Macaca fascicularis: one gene and its partners. The protein of the gene in region 2 purifies or fractionates together with the protein of the main gene of each other region. This does not show direct contact. Links are inferred from orthologs where the notes say so. Each region holds a gene or a part of one and is shown on either strand. Other genes may lie near its edges.

Region 1 (3,500 bases), on a different chromosome or scaffold from region 2:
GTACAACAAAAATATAATTTTTTACAGTTTTACTCTCAAACTTTTCTCTATGTAGTAACATGCCTTACTCACCTCTACAATAGGTTTGTTGTGAGAATCTTATAATGTAAACCCTGGACGTCCTATGAAGCATTTTTAAACTTCTAGTTTATGTCCTATTGATTCTTATGCAAGTGTTTTTCAAAAAATATTTAAACAACTATTCTTTTCTTGCCAATATTTTTATAATTTCCAAGAGGTTGTAAGGATGTTGAGAGAACATTGATTTCAGAAGTATCTACTACTATTACTAGTCAAGAACACAAATGTAGGCAGAGGATTTAACATTTCATCCTATATACATCTTAATCATCCTAACGGTAAAAACTCACATGAAACTTTAAGATACAAGATGATATGAGAATCTCAACATGGAAAGCTGTCACTATAACTACAAGCAGTGTACAAACATACTTCTACTTTTACCTACATAAGCTGACAGATGTTTAAAATACTGAGTTAACAAAGATCTTTTAGTAAAGTGACTTAGGCAGGCTTAAACTAGCAAGGATTAAGGATGAATCCTTACTAATTAATTGGAAGATCTGAGACATATTTTATATTTCATTTTACAAAATCAGAAATACTTATTTTGAAACAAGATAAGAAGACATGGTCTACCTGTCAAAAACCTACCACTCAGAAATATTTTTCATCCACAAAGCAGGAAAAACATAAAACCATTTACATTTCACATTGGCACCAAAAAGGTTAACTGCCCTGCCTTCTTGGATTAGAAAAACTAAAGCTGAGTGATAAGTACTTTTGCAGGCGTTTGAACATGCCTAAGCCTTTAAATCAGTAAAATACTTTCTAAAAATTCTGATTACAAAAGTAATACATACTTATAAAAAATTCAAACAGAACAAAATGAAAAAAATAGAAAGTGAAAGGCCCCTATAAAACCCCTCTGAGGCCCCTTCCCCAACCCCCCCAAAGAGAAACCACATTTAACAGTTTGGTGTCTATCTTTCCAAATCTTTTGTTCTATACATATAAGAAACATACATACTTTGATTGCCTCAGACTATACATAGTGTTTTGCCACTTGCATTTTACACTTAATATATCTTTCACATCTTTCCATGTCAGTACATCTTGGCTTGATAGTATTCTATCATTAAATACCCTTTCAAAAATGGCAAATCACTTTTAAAAAATTATTCGCACAAGTACGTGTTTATAATTTTAAAAGAAAATGGACAGAATCCTAACACACAACAACCAACCTCTAAAAATAATCTCTATCTTTCCACCAGCATGGAACAATTATTCCTTTTTCACACAAAACAAATTATGTGATTGGGGAGATTAATCTCCACATTTATATACAGAAAGCTCCATTTGTTAAGCCTATCTGAAAAGAATAAAAAATCCAGATGATTAATTCACTTACACTTAGAAATTAAGTCAGTATATGATGAATACACATTGTGTTCAGTTATAATATGATGCTTCTTAGTCTAGGGTTTCAATTAGATAACAGTAAAAAAAGTTGGATAAATAATACAGCTAATACCCTGAAAAATCCAGAAATTCAAAGATTATATTGCCAACTAAAACACTGCCATGTACATTTTTTTTCTACTTGGTAGCAAATGCTAATGGAATTCAATCCTGATTACTTAAAAGTCAGTTCACATCACATATTCAATCAGGGTAATAAGAAGAACATAACATCCCTACTACAGAGTTAGATTAAGACATAAAAATTTTTTGCTTGAAAGTAATGACTGTGTAGCACATGGGACACTTGTCAACTGCTTCAGCACATTGTTTACAAGTGACTAGATGTCCACAAGGAACAAAAACGATAGCAATATTTCTATCCATACAGATTTTGCAAAGCTTCTCCTCTTGCAGGCGCCTTAGCTGCTCTTCAGTACTAATCTCTGCAAAAAGAGAAAAGAATTATGCTAGTTTTAGACTTTCTTAGTTGTTTACATTCATTGAAAATATTTATTGAACCCCTACTACGTGCCAGGCACCCAACAAGTGCCAGGAGATATGAGGATGACTCACACATGGCATCTGCTCTTAAATAGCTCACAGGCTAGTGGGAGAGGATGTAAGATGAGGCTATGGAGGTTAAGCACAAAGTACAAAGTGATAAGTGCTGTAATAAAGTTATGTACAAAGTGCTCTGGAACAAGATGAGAAAACAAGTTCTTCTGCTCAGGCTAGTTGGAGAAGGCTCCACAGGTTGGCAGTGGCTGGATCGGGGGAGGAGGGAAGCGGAGGAGTGACATTTAAGCATGGGCAGTAATTTGCCAGGCAGAAAAACAAGGGTTAGGTAAAAGGAGCAGCATATGGAAAGGTCACAACTAATTCCAGAAATAGAGGGATGGATTTGAGGGACACCTCTGAAGTGGGACAAGTAGGACTGGGTGACTGACTGGATATGAGGGCTGAAGAAGAAAGACAAACTAAAGTTGATTTCAAGATTGCTAGCTTGGCTGACAAGGATATGGTGATGCCAATAAGAAATATAAAAGGAGGTACAGGTTTGGGATCTTCAGATATTTTTTAGGTGTTTTCAGGACACTCATATAAAAATACCCAGTAGGTAACTGAAGAGTCAAATCTTGAGGTCAGGAGAAGTCAGGGCTAGAGATAGAGATCTGGATGTCATCAGCATATAGGTGGCACTGAAGTACTTGCTTAATTCAGCCTTTCCCAAAATAGTTTTGTGAAATGTGAATACATACGCCACAAAAAAAATGTGTTTCATGGTCACATATAACAATAATGACAACAGCAGCAGCAGTTAACAGTAATATTGCATAAATAGTATGTGCTAGGCACTATTCCAAATGCATTACATATTTTAACTATATCTTTATAACCACAACTATTTGTTTATTTTAGCATCTTTATAATCATTATGTACCAGCAGTTTCCAAATACGGCCTCACATGAGAATAACCTGGGGCATTTTCAAACAACAGATTTCTGGGCTCCATTCACAGAACCTAAAATTTCTGGGGTTGGGCACACCGGCATTTGAGAACCACTGTCATCCATGACAGGGCAGTACAGTACAATATAGGACAGTATAGTCTATATTCCCTCTTAGAAATGTACAACACATTCCCCTGTTTAACTATGGGGTTCCTTTTTCATGGCATCCTTTTAATATCCTGTTGAACACTATACTGAAAACATGTTTGGAAAACAATAGTTTATTCAAGAAATACTTACTGGACACTTAACTAGGTTCTACTAGGGATACAATTAACAAATACATAAACCTCAAGCCCCCAATCGTTCATAGACAAGTAAACAGGGAAGTATAAATGGTATGATGACAAAGGTAATTACAATGTGTTATGAAGAGCACAGGAAGGGTGTGTGTGCATGTGTGCCCATGCATGCATAAACGAAGGCCTCCTGGAGGAAATTATATCTAAAACTGGATACTAAAGAATGAATTAGGAGTTTACTAGGAGAGGGAGGCCTTG
Region 2 (3,500 bases):
GTGGAAACTGACCGTTAGGAAGTTTCCTTGATTGTCCTCAAAGTCCACAGCTTGTGAATGGAGGAGCCAGGATGGGCGCTTGCTGGCTGTCCTATCCCTTCAGTTATGTCAGCTTCCCCCACAGCAGCCCACTGTCTGATTAGGTCCCCTCTTCACCATGGTGCCACCTTCATCTGCCTCTTCTTCTGCCTTCCAGCTGCCACATGCAGGAAGTACATGGCCAAGCTGAGGACCACGGTGTCTGCTCAGGCTCGCTTCCTCAGCACCTATGATGGGGCAGAGACGCTCTGCCTGGAGGACATATACACAGAGAATGGCCTGGAGGTCTGGGCAGACGTGGGCATGGCTGGACCCCCGCAGAAGAGCCCGGCCACCCTGGGCCTGGAGGAGCTCTTCAGCACCCGCAGCCACCTCAACGACGATGCAGACACCGTGTTGGTGGTCGGTGAGGCGGGCAGCGGCAAGAGCACGCTCCTGCAGCGGCTCCACTTGCTGTGGGCTGCAGGGCGAGACTTCCAGGAATTTCTCTTTGTCTTCCCATTCAGCTGCCGGCAGCTGCAGTGCGTGGCCAAACCACTCTCCGTGCGGACACTACTCTTTGAGCACTGCTGTTGGCCTGATGTTGATCAAGAGGACATCTTCCAGTTCCTCCTTGACCACCCTGACCGTGTCCTGTTAACCTTTGATGGCTTTGATGAGTTCAAGTTCAGGTTCACGGATCATGAGCGTCACTGCTCCCCGACCGACCCCACCTCTGTCCAGACCCTGCTCTTCAACCTTCTGCAGGGCAACCTGCTGAAGAATGCCCGAAAGGTGATGACCAGCCGTCCAGCCGCTGTGTCAGCATTCCTCAGGAAGTACATCCGCACCGAGTTCAACCTCAAGGGCTTCTCTGAACAGGGCATCGAGCTGTACTTGAGGAAGCGCCATCGTGAGCCTGGGGTGGCAGACCGCCTCATCCGCCTGCTCCAAGGGACCTCAGCCCTGCACGGTTTGTGCCACCTTCCTGTCTTCTCGTGGATGGTGTCCAAATGCCACCAGGAACTGTTGCTGCAGGAGGGGGTGTCCCCAAAGACCACTACAGATATGTACCTGCTGATCCTGCAGCATTTTCTGCTGCATGCCACCTCCCCAGACTCAGCCTCCCAGGGTCTGGGACCCAGTCTTCTTCGGGGCCGTCTCCCCACCCTTCTGCACCTGGGCAGACTAGCCCTGTGGGGCCTGGGCATGTGCTGCTACGTGTTCTCAGCCCAGCAGCTCCAGGCAGCACAGGTCAGCCCTGATGACATTTCTCTTGGCTTCCTGGTGCGTGCCAAAGGTGTCATGCCAGGGAGTACGGCGCCCCTGGAATTCCTGCACATCACTTTCCAGTGCTTCTTTGCTGCATTCTACCTGGCATTCAGTGCTGATGTGTCACCAGCTTTGCTCAGACACCTCTTCAATTGTGGCAGGCCCGGCAACTCACCGATGGCCAGGCTCCTGCCCACGCTGTGCATCCAGGGCTCAGAGGGAAAGGACGGCAGCGTGGCAGCTTTGCTGCAGAAGGCCGAGCCGCACAACCTTCAGATCACGGCAGCCTTCCTGGCGGGGCTGTTGTCCCGGGAGCACTGGGACCTGCTGGCCGAGTGCCAGGCATCTGAGAAGGCCCTGCTCCGGCGCCAGGCCTGTGCCCGCTGGTGTCTGGCCCGCAGCCTCCGCAAGCACTTCCACTCCATCCCGCCAGCTGCGCCGGGTGAGGCCAAGAGCATGCACGCCATGCCCGGGTTCATCTGGCTTATCCGGAGCCTATACGAGATGCAGGAGGAGCGGCTAGCACGGAAGGCTGCACGTGGCCTGAATGTCGGGCACCTCAAGTTGACATTTTGCAGTGTGGGCCCCGCGGAGTGTGCTGCCCTGGCCTTTGTGCTGCGGCACCTCAGGCAGCCCGTGGCCCTGCAGCTGGACTACAACTCTGTGGGTGACATTGGCGTGGAGCAGCTGCTGCCTTGCCTTGGTGTCTGCAAGGCTCTGTAGTGAGTGTTACTGGGCATTGCTATTCAGGCATGGGGAAGCATCATCAAGGCTAAGCGTGGGAGCACCGAGCTGGGATCTAGAAATCTGGGCCCAGCTTCACCTTTGCCACCCTTCTTTGCACCCCTGTCCAGATCCCTTCCCTTCTGGGTCTTAATTTCAATATGTGGTGATGACAGCCATACTTTATTGACTGGCCTATGTGCTGGGTCTGGTGCTACTCTTTCCGGAATGACCTCATCTAATCTCTACAACTACCCAGGGCTGTAGGCAGGAATGTTATTATCTCCAGTATCCTTGACTTGAGGCTCAGAGGAGTGAAGTAAATTGTCCAGGGTCACACAGGAAATGGCAGAGTTGAGGTTCACAAATCACATCTTTCTGATAACAGGTTTCCTGCCCCCCACCAGTCTCTGGATACACTTCAGAGGCTCCCTGAAAACCTTGAGGTCACATGCAGAAAGTTTTGTGTACTATGTGTCACCAAATCAGAGGTGACTAGTGCCCCATCAGAGACTTTAACATCCCAATCAGATGGGAATGTCAGGGCCCAAGAAATAGAAAGTGGCTGCAGGATTTCAACAGTGGCTATCTTCCATTTGCCTGGCCACTTTCAACAATGGAAGAGGAGCCACTCTTGGATTCCTGAGGTAGCACAGTATCCAAACAGGATTTCAGCACTACCTGTATTGCTTAAGAGCCCCAGCCAAAGATATGAGGTTTTGCCCTTTGGAGAATCGGTGCCCCTGAACTCAGTGGCCTCTTTCCACATCTTGGGGGCAGGCAAGGGCAGAGGGTGTGCCTAGGCCTGGGGATCAGCATGCCACAGATTCCCCAACATCCTTCCAGCTTGAAAGGGGACGCCCTGCTTCTATTTAGAACCCATGGGAAAGCAGAAGTTCTAGATTGAAGTTAAAATCGATTCCCAGCCTCCAGGGGCTTTAGGCTACACCTGGATGACCTTAATTGACCCTAAGCATGGGACAAACCTCTTCTTGAGAGTATTAGGATGGTATACATCTTCTCTGGGGCAAAGCAACAAGATTTATTTTTCACTATGGGCCGAACACATGGATATCCACTAGAAACCGTGCAGTGACTTTTGTTAACCCTGACATAAGGACCATGGTCATAAGGTTAAAGCATAATAACAACATAATACATAACATATATAGTGAATATATATATATGTGTTATACACAATGAATATAAATATGATTATACCCATCATGGTCTTGGAGGAAACAGATGATACACTTAAAATGGATGATTTGAGGAGAGTTTAATAAAGAGATTGTTTATAAGCCATGGGCAGGAGTTAGGAAGAGCGAGAGGGTTGCTGCAGGGGCCTGGGGTTAGTAACCGCTGGGGGAGGGTAGACTTGAAGGGGGAAGGGGAGGGAGACTAATTAGCTGGGGGGAAGGTATGGAGAGGGCTGCCTGAGCTTCTGCAACCTGGAAGAATACCGCTTGGCCCTAACTCCCCACCCT
Region 3 (3,500 bases), on a different chromosome or scaffold from region 2:
ACATTCTATTCGTGACTTGTGATCATTTGAAACAAGGATGGAATAAGTAACTGGTGTCAGTCTGTAAGATTTGTATAACTACCACAGCAACCAAGATACAAATATTAATAAATCATAATTTCTCGTTTATTTTTGTTGAGAAATGAATATAAGTAGAAATCTAACATTTTCTTCCCACACCCCAGCAGATACTCTGGCACTCAAATTTGCAGCTCACTGGACATTCTACAGCCTCCTCCAGGGGACTGCTAACTCCTGGAAAAAAAATCATAAAATATAGAGTGAGCACTTCTCTCCCTTGTCTCCATGATCACAAGCCTCCATATTACATTATGCTGCAGAGAGGCCTGGTAACTGCTTTAAACTGCGTAATTTTCAGAAAAAGTTACCTTTTTTATAGATTAAAAGATTCAGTTTCTCTAGGGGACAGGACTCTGTGTGTACCAGAGAAAGTAATGTTCCACATTAGTCTTTTGTGTTTCATTTGGTTTCCTGTATTGCATTATTTAGGGTGGGATTTATCTTGACGTGCCCTCCCCCAACCTTACAAAATTCATTGAAAAAACTCAAGATGTATCATAAACAATCTAAAATATTTTGAACCACTCCCCCTGCCAGATTGATCACTGAACTATAAGCTGACGCATTTGCAGAAAAACTTCTCAAGATCAGTTTTGTACTTTCAGTAGAAGCAGTCTTTTTCATAGCATTTAGAAAAATGTGGCATGGTGCCTGGTGATTCATTGTTGATCTTCCCAAATTGCCTGGTCTTCCGAAGTATGTTCATTCTCCTGGGAAGCTACATTAACTTTTGTGTTCAGAAAACATTTATTTTAAGAAAGCTCAGATGGATGTTGAGTACTATGAAAAATAAAACGTTATGTTTTAAATGTGTCTATACTGTATAGTTTTAGAAACAAAAATGATTGTCCCCTTCCACAAAAACAAATCAAAAGGCTAATTTTATAAGCTGGAATGCAGATAAATTAATTATATGATTAAATGTATGATAAATTAGTGCTTAGTCAATAAATATGGTCATAATTTATAACTGATGCAGTGATTATAATAAAGTCTGATTTTATATTAATAAAATTAAAATAAAAATTTTGAATGAATGGCTTGGTATTTACTAGAAATAAATTGTGTGTAATTTTGTGTGTATTTGTGTGCGTTCAAATTACTTGATTAAGACATAGAATGGAGAGGTGGATGTGGGTGTAAGTATATGACTTTGGCTATGTATAGACACAAAATAACTGAGATCTGTGTCAGTTGAAGAAAGACCCAAAACCATGTAGTTGCATGACCAACATAAACTAAAAGGAAGTATTCGTGCTATAAAGTTATCATAACTTTCTCTAGAAAGTGAGGAAAGTAAGACACGTAAATGTTAAACCCTATCAAATTGACGCTATTTTATAAAAATGTGCATATGTTTTAACCTTAGTTTATACTGTATTTCCTCATGGAATATTTAACTTCTAAGTGTGAAACGTAGTGAAATTTGGACTAATTTTATTTTGTTTCTTTTCACATATATATGAAGAAAACTGAATATCCTGATGTTGCTTGGCCATTGAGATTTCGCATTCTGCATGAAATTGCCCTTGGTGTAAATTACCTGCACAATATGACTCCTCCTTTACTTCATCATGACTTGAAGACTCAGAATATCCTATTGGACAATGAATTTCATGTTAAGGTAATTACTTTTTTAAAAAGTTTATCTGTTTCCTTGTCCTTATAGTTTTAAAAATACTTTTTAGTTATTTCTTCGACCTAGACTGTTTCATATCTCTCCTTAGAGTTAGGGACCAATGAATAGTAATTTCCGTAGCCCTTAATTTCTATCTTCTATTCTCCTTCTTACTACTGCAGTTAGGAAGCTATTCCTAGACAGAGATAGAATTACGATATAAAATACAAAGCCATTATGTTTCTTCATTGAATTGTCAAGATCACCTTTTTTGTTTTATTTTTTATTTTAAAATTATTATATGTTTATAGGAAGATGCAAAGGTAATAAAGAGGTTTCATGTATCCGTCACCTGGTTTCCCACATTGTTATGTCAAACATAATTATAGTATAATTTTAAGACCAGGAATTTGACATTAGTACAATGCATGTACATAGTACCATTACTTTATCACGTGTATAAATTTGTGTAACCACAACAATCAAGGTACAGCACTTCTCATAACATCACCACAAAGATACCACTCATGCTACCTCACCCACTTCCTCTCTACCACAATCTGTACCTCTAACAACCACTAATCTGCTTTCCATCTCTTTAATTTTGTCATTTTGAAAATGCTATATAAGTGGAATCATATAGTATGTGATATTTTGAGATTGGATCTGTTCACATCACATAATGCTCTTGAGATCCATCTAAGTTGTGCTTGTAACAATAGTTGTTTTTTATTGATAAATAGTATTCCACAGTATAAATGTACCACAGTTAACCATTCAGGAATATTTTGGTTCTTTCCAGTTTGGGGTAATTATTTACAGAGCTCCTGTGAACAAAGCTATACAGGTTTATGAGTGAACATAAGTCTTCATTACTCTGTGATAAATGCCCCAAGAATACAAATGCTGGGTCATATGGTAAGGGTGTGTTTAGTTTTTTTTGTTTTTTTGTTTTTTTTGATACAGAGTCTCGCTCTGTCGCCCAGGCTGGAGTGCAGTGGCCGGATCTCAGTTCACTGCCAGCTCCGCCTTCCAGGTTTATGCCATTCTCCTGCCTCAGCCTCTCGAGTAGCTGGGACTACAGGCGCCCACCACCACGCCTGGCTAGTTTTTTGTATTTTTTTAGTAGAGACAGGGTTTCACAGTGTTAGCCCAGATCGTCTCAATCTCCTGACCTCGTGATCCACCCGTCTTGGCCTCCCAAAGTGCTGGGATTGCAGCCTTGAGCCACTGAGCCCAGTCGGTGTGTTTAGTTTTTAAAGAAAGTATCCAACTATTTTCCAGAGTGGCTGTACCATTTTACATTCCACCAGCAATGTGTGAGAGATCCAGCTATTCCGCATCCCTACCAGCATTTGTTATTATCATTGTTTTCTATTTAGCTGTTCTAATAGATGCATAGTGATATCTCATCTTGTATTAATTTGCATTTTCCTAACTGCTAATGATATTGAACACCTTTTTATATGCTAATTTGCCACCCATATGTGGCTTTCAGTGAAATGTCTCTTGATGTCTTAAACTCATTTTCTAAAGGGAGTCCTTGGTTTTCTTACTGTTGAGTTTTGAGAGTTCTGTATAATGTTACAGTGGTAGTTCATCAGATATGTAGTTTGCAAATATTTTCTCCCAGTTATAGTTTATCTTTTCATCGTTTTAACAGGGACTTTCACAAAGCAAAAATTTTAATTTTGATGAAGTTCATTTTTTTTTCTTTTATGGATCATGCTTTTGCTGTCATCTCCAAGCACTTTTCACCAAGTTCTACTTACTGAAGATTTTCTTTTTTGTTATCTTCTAT

What was found.
Region 1: the proteins of NOD2 (region 2) and XIAP purify together in Homo sapiens (affinity purification with western blotting; 3 studies listed by BioGRID and IntAct, with this or other methods). This does not show direct contact. The link is inferred for Macaca fascicularis from reciprocal best matches to the Homo sapiens genes NOD2 and XIAP.
Region 3: the proteins of NOD2 (region 2) and RIPK2 purify together in Homo sapiens (affinity purification with western blotting; 12 studies listed by BioGRID and IntAct, with this or other methods). This does not show direct contact. The link is inferred for Macaca fascicularis from reciprocal best matches to the Homo sapiens genes NOD2 and RIPK2.

The regions. Positions count from the first base shown.
Region 1 is NC_088395.1:130,137,487-130,140,986, reverse strand, and holds the end of XIAP (E3 ubiquitin-protein ligase XIAP), read right to left. Parts: intron 1,932-3,500; coding exon 1,738-1,931; 3' UTR 206-1,737; downstream 1-205.
Region 2 is NC_088394.1:46,670,039-46,673,538, forward strand, and holds part of NOD2 (nucleotide-binding oligomerization domain-containing protein 2), read left to right. Parts: intron 1-196; coding exon 197-2,012; intron 2,013-3,500. UniProt on the Homo sapiens protein: Pattern recognition receptor (PRR) that detects bacterial peptidoglycan fragments and other danger signals and plays an important role in gastrointestinal immunity.
Region 3 is NC_088382.1:99,465,362-99,468,861, forward strand, and holds part of RIPK2 (receptor-interacting serine/threonine-protein kinase 2), read left to right. Parts: intron 1-104; exon of another isoform or gene 105-255; intron 256-1,549; coding exon 1,550-1,705; intron 1,706-3,500.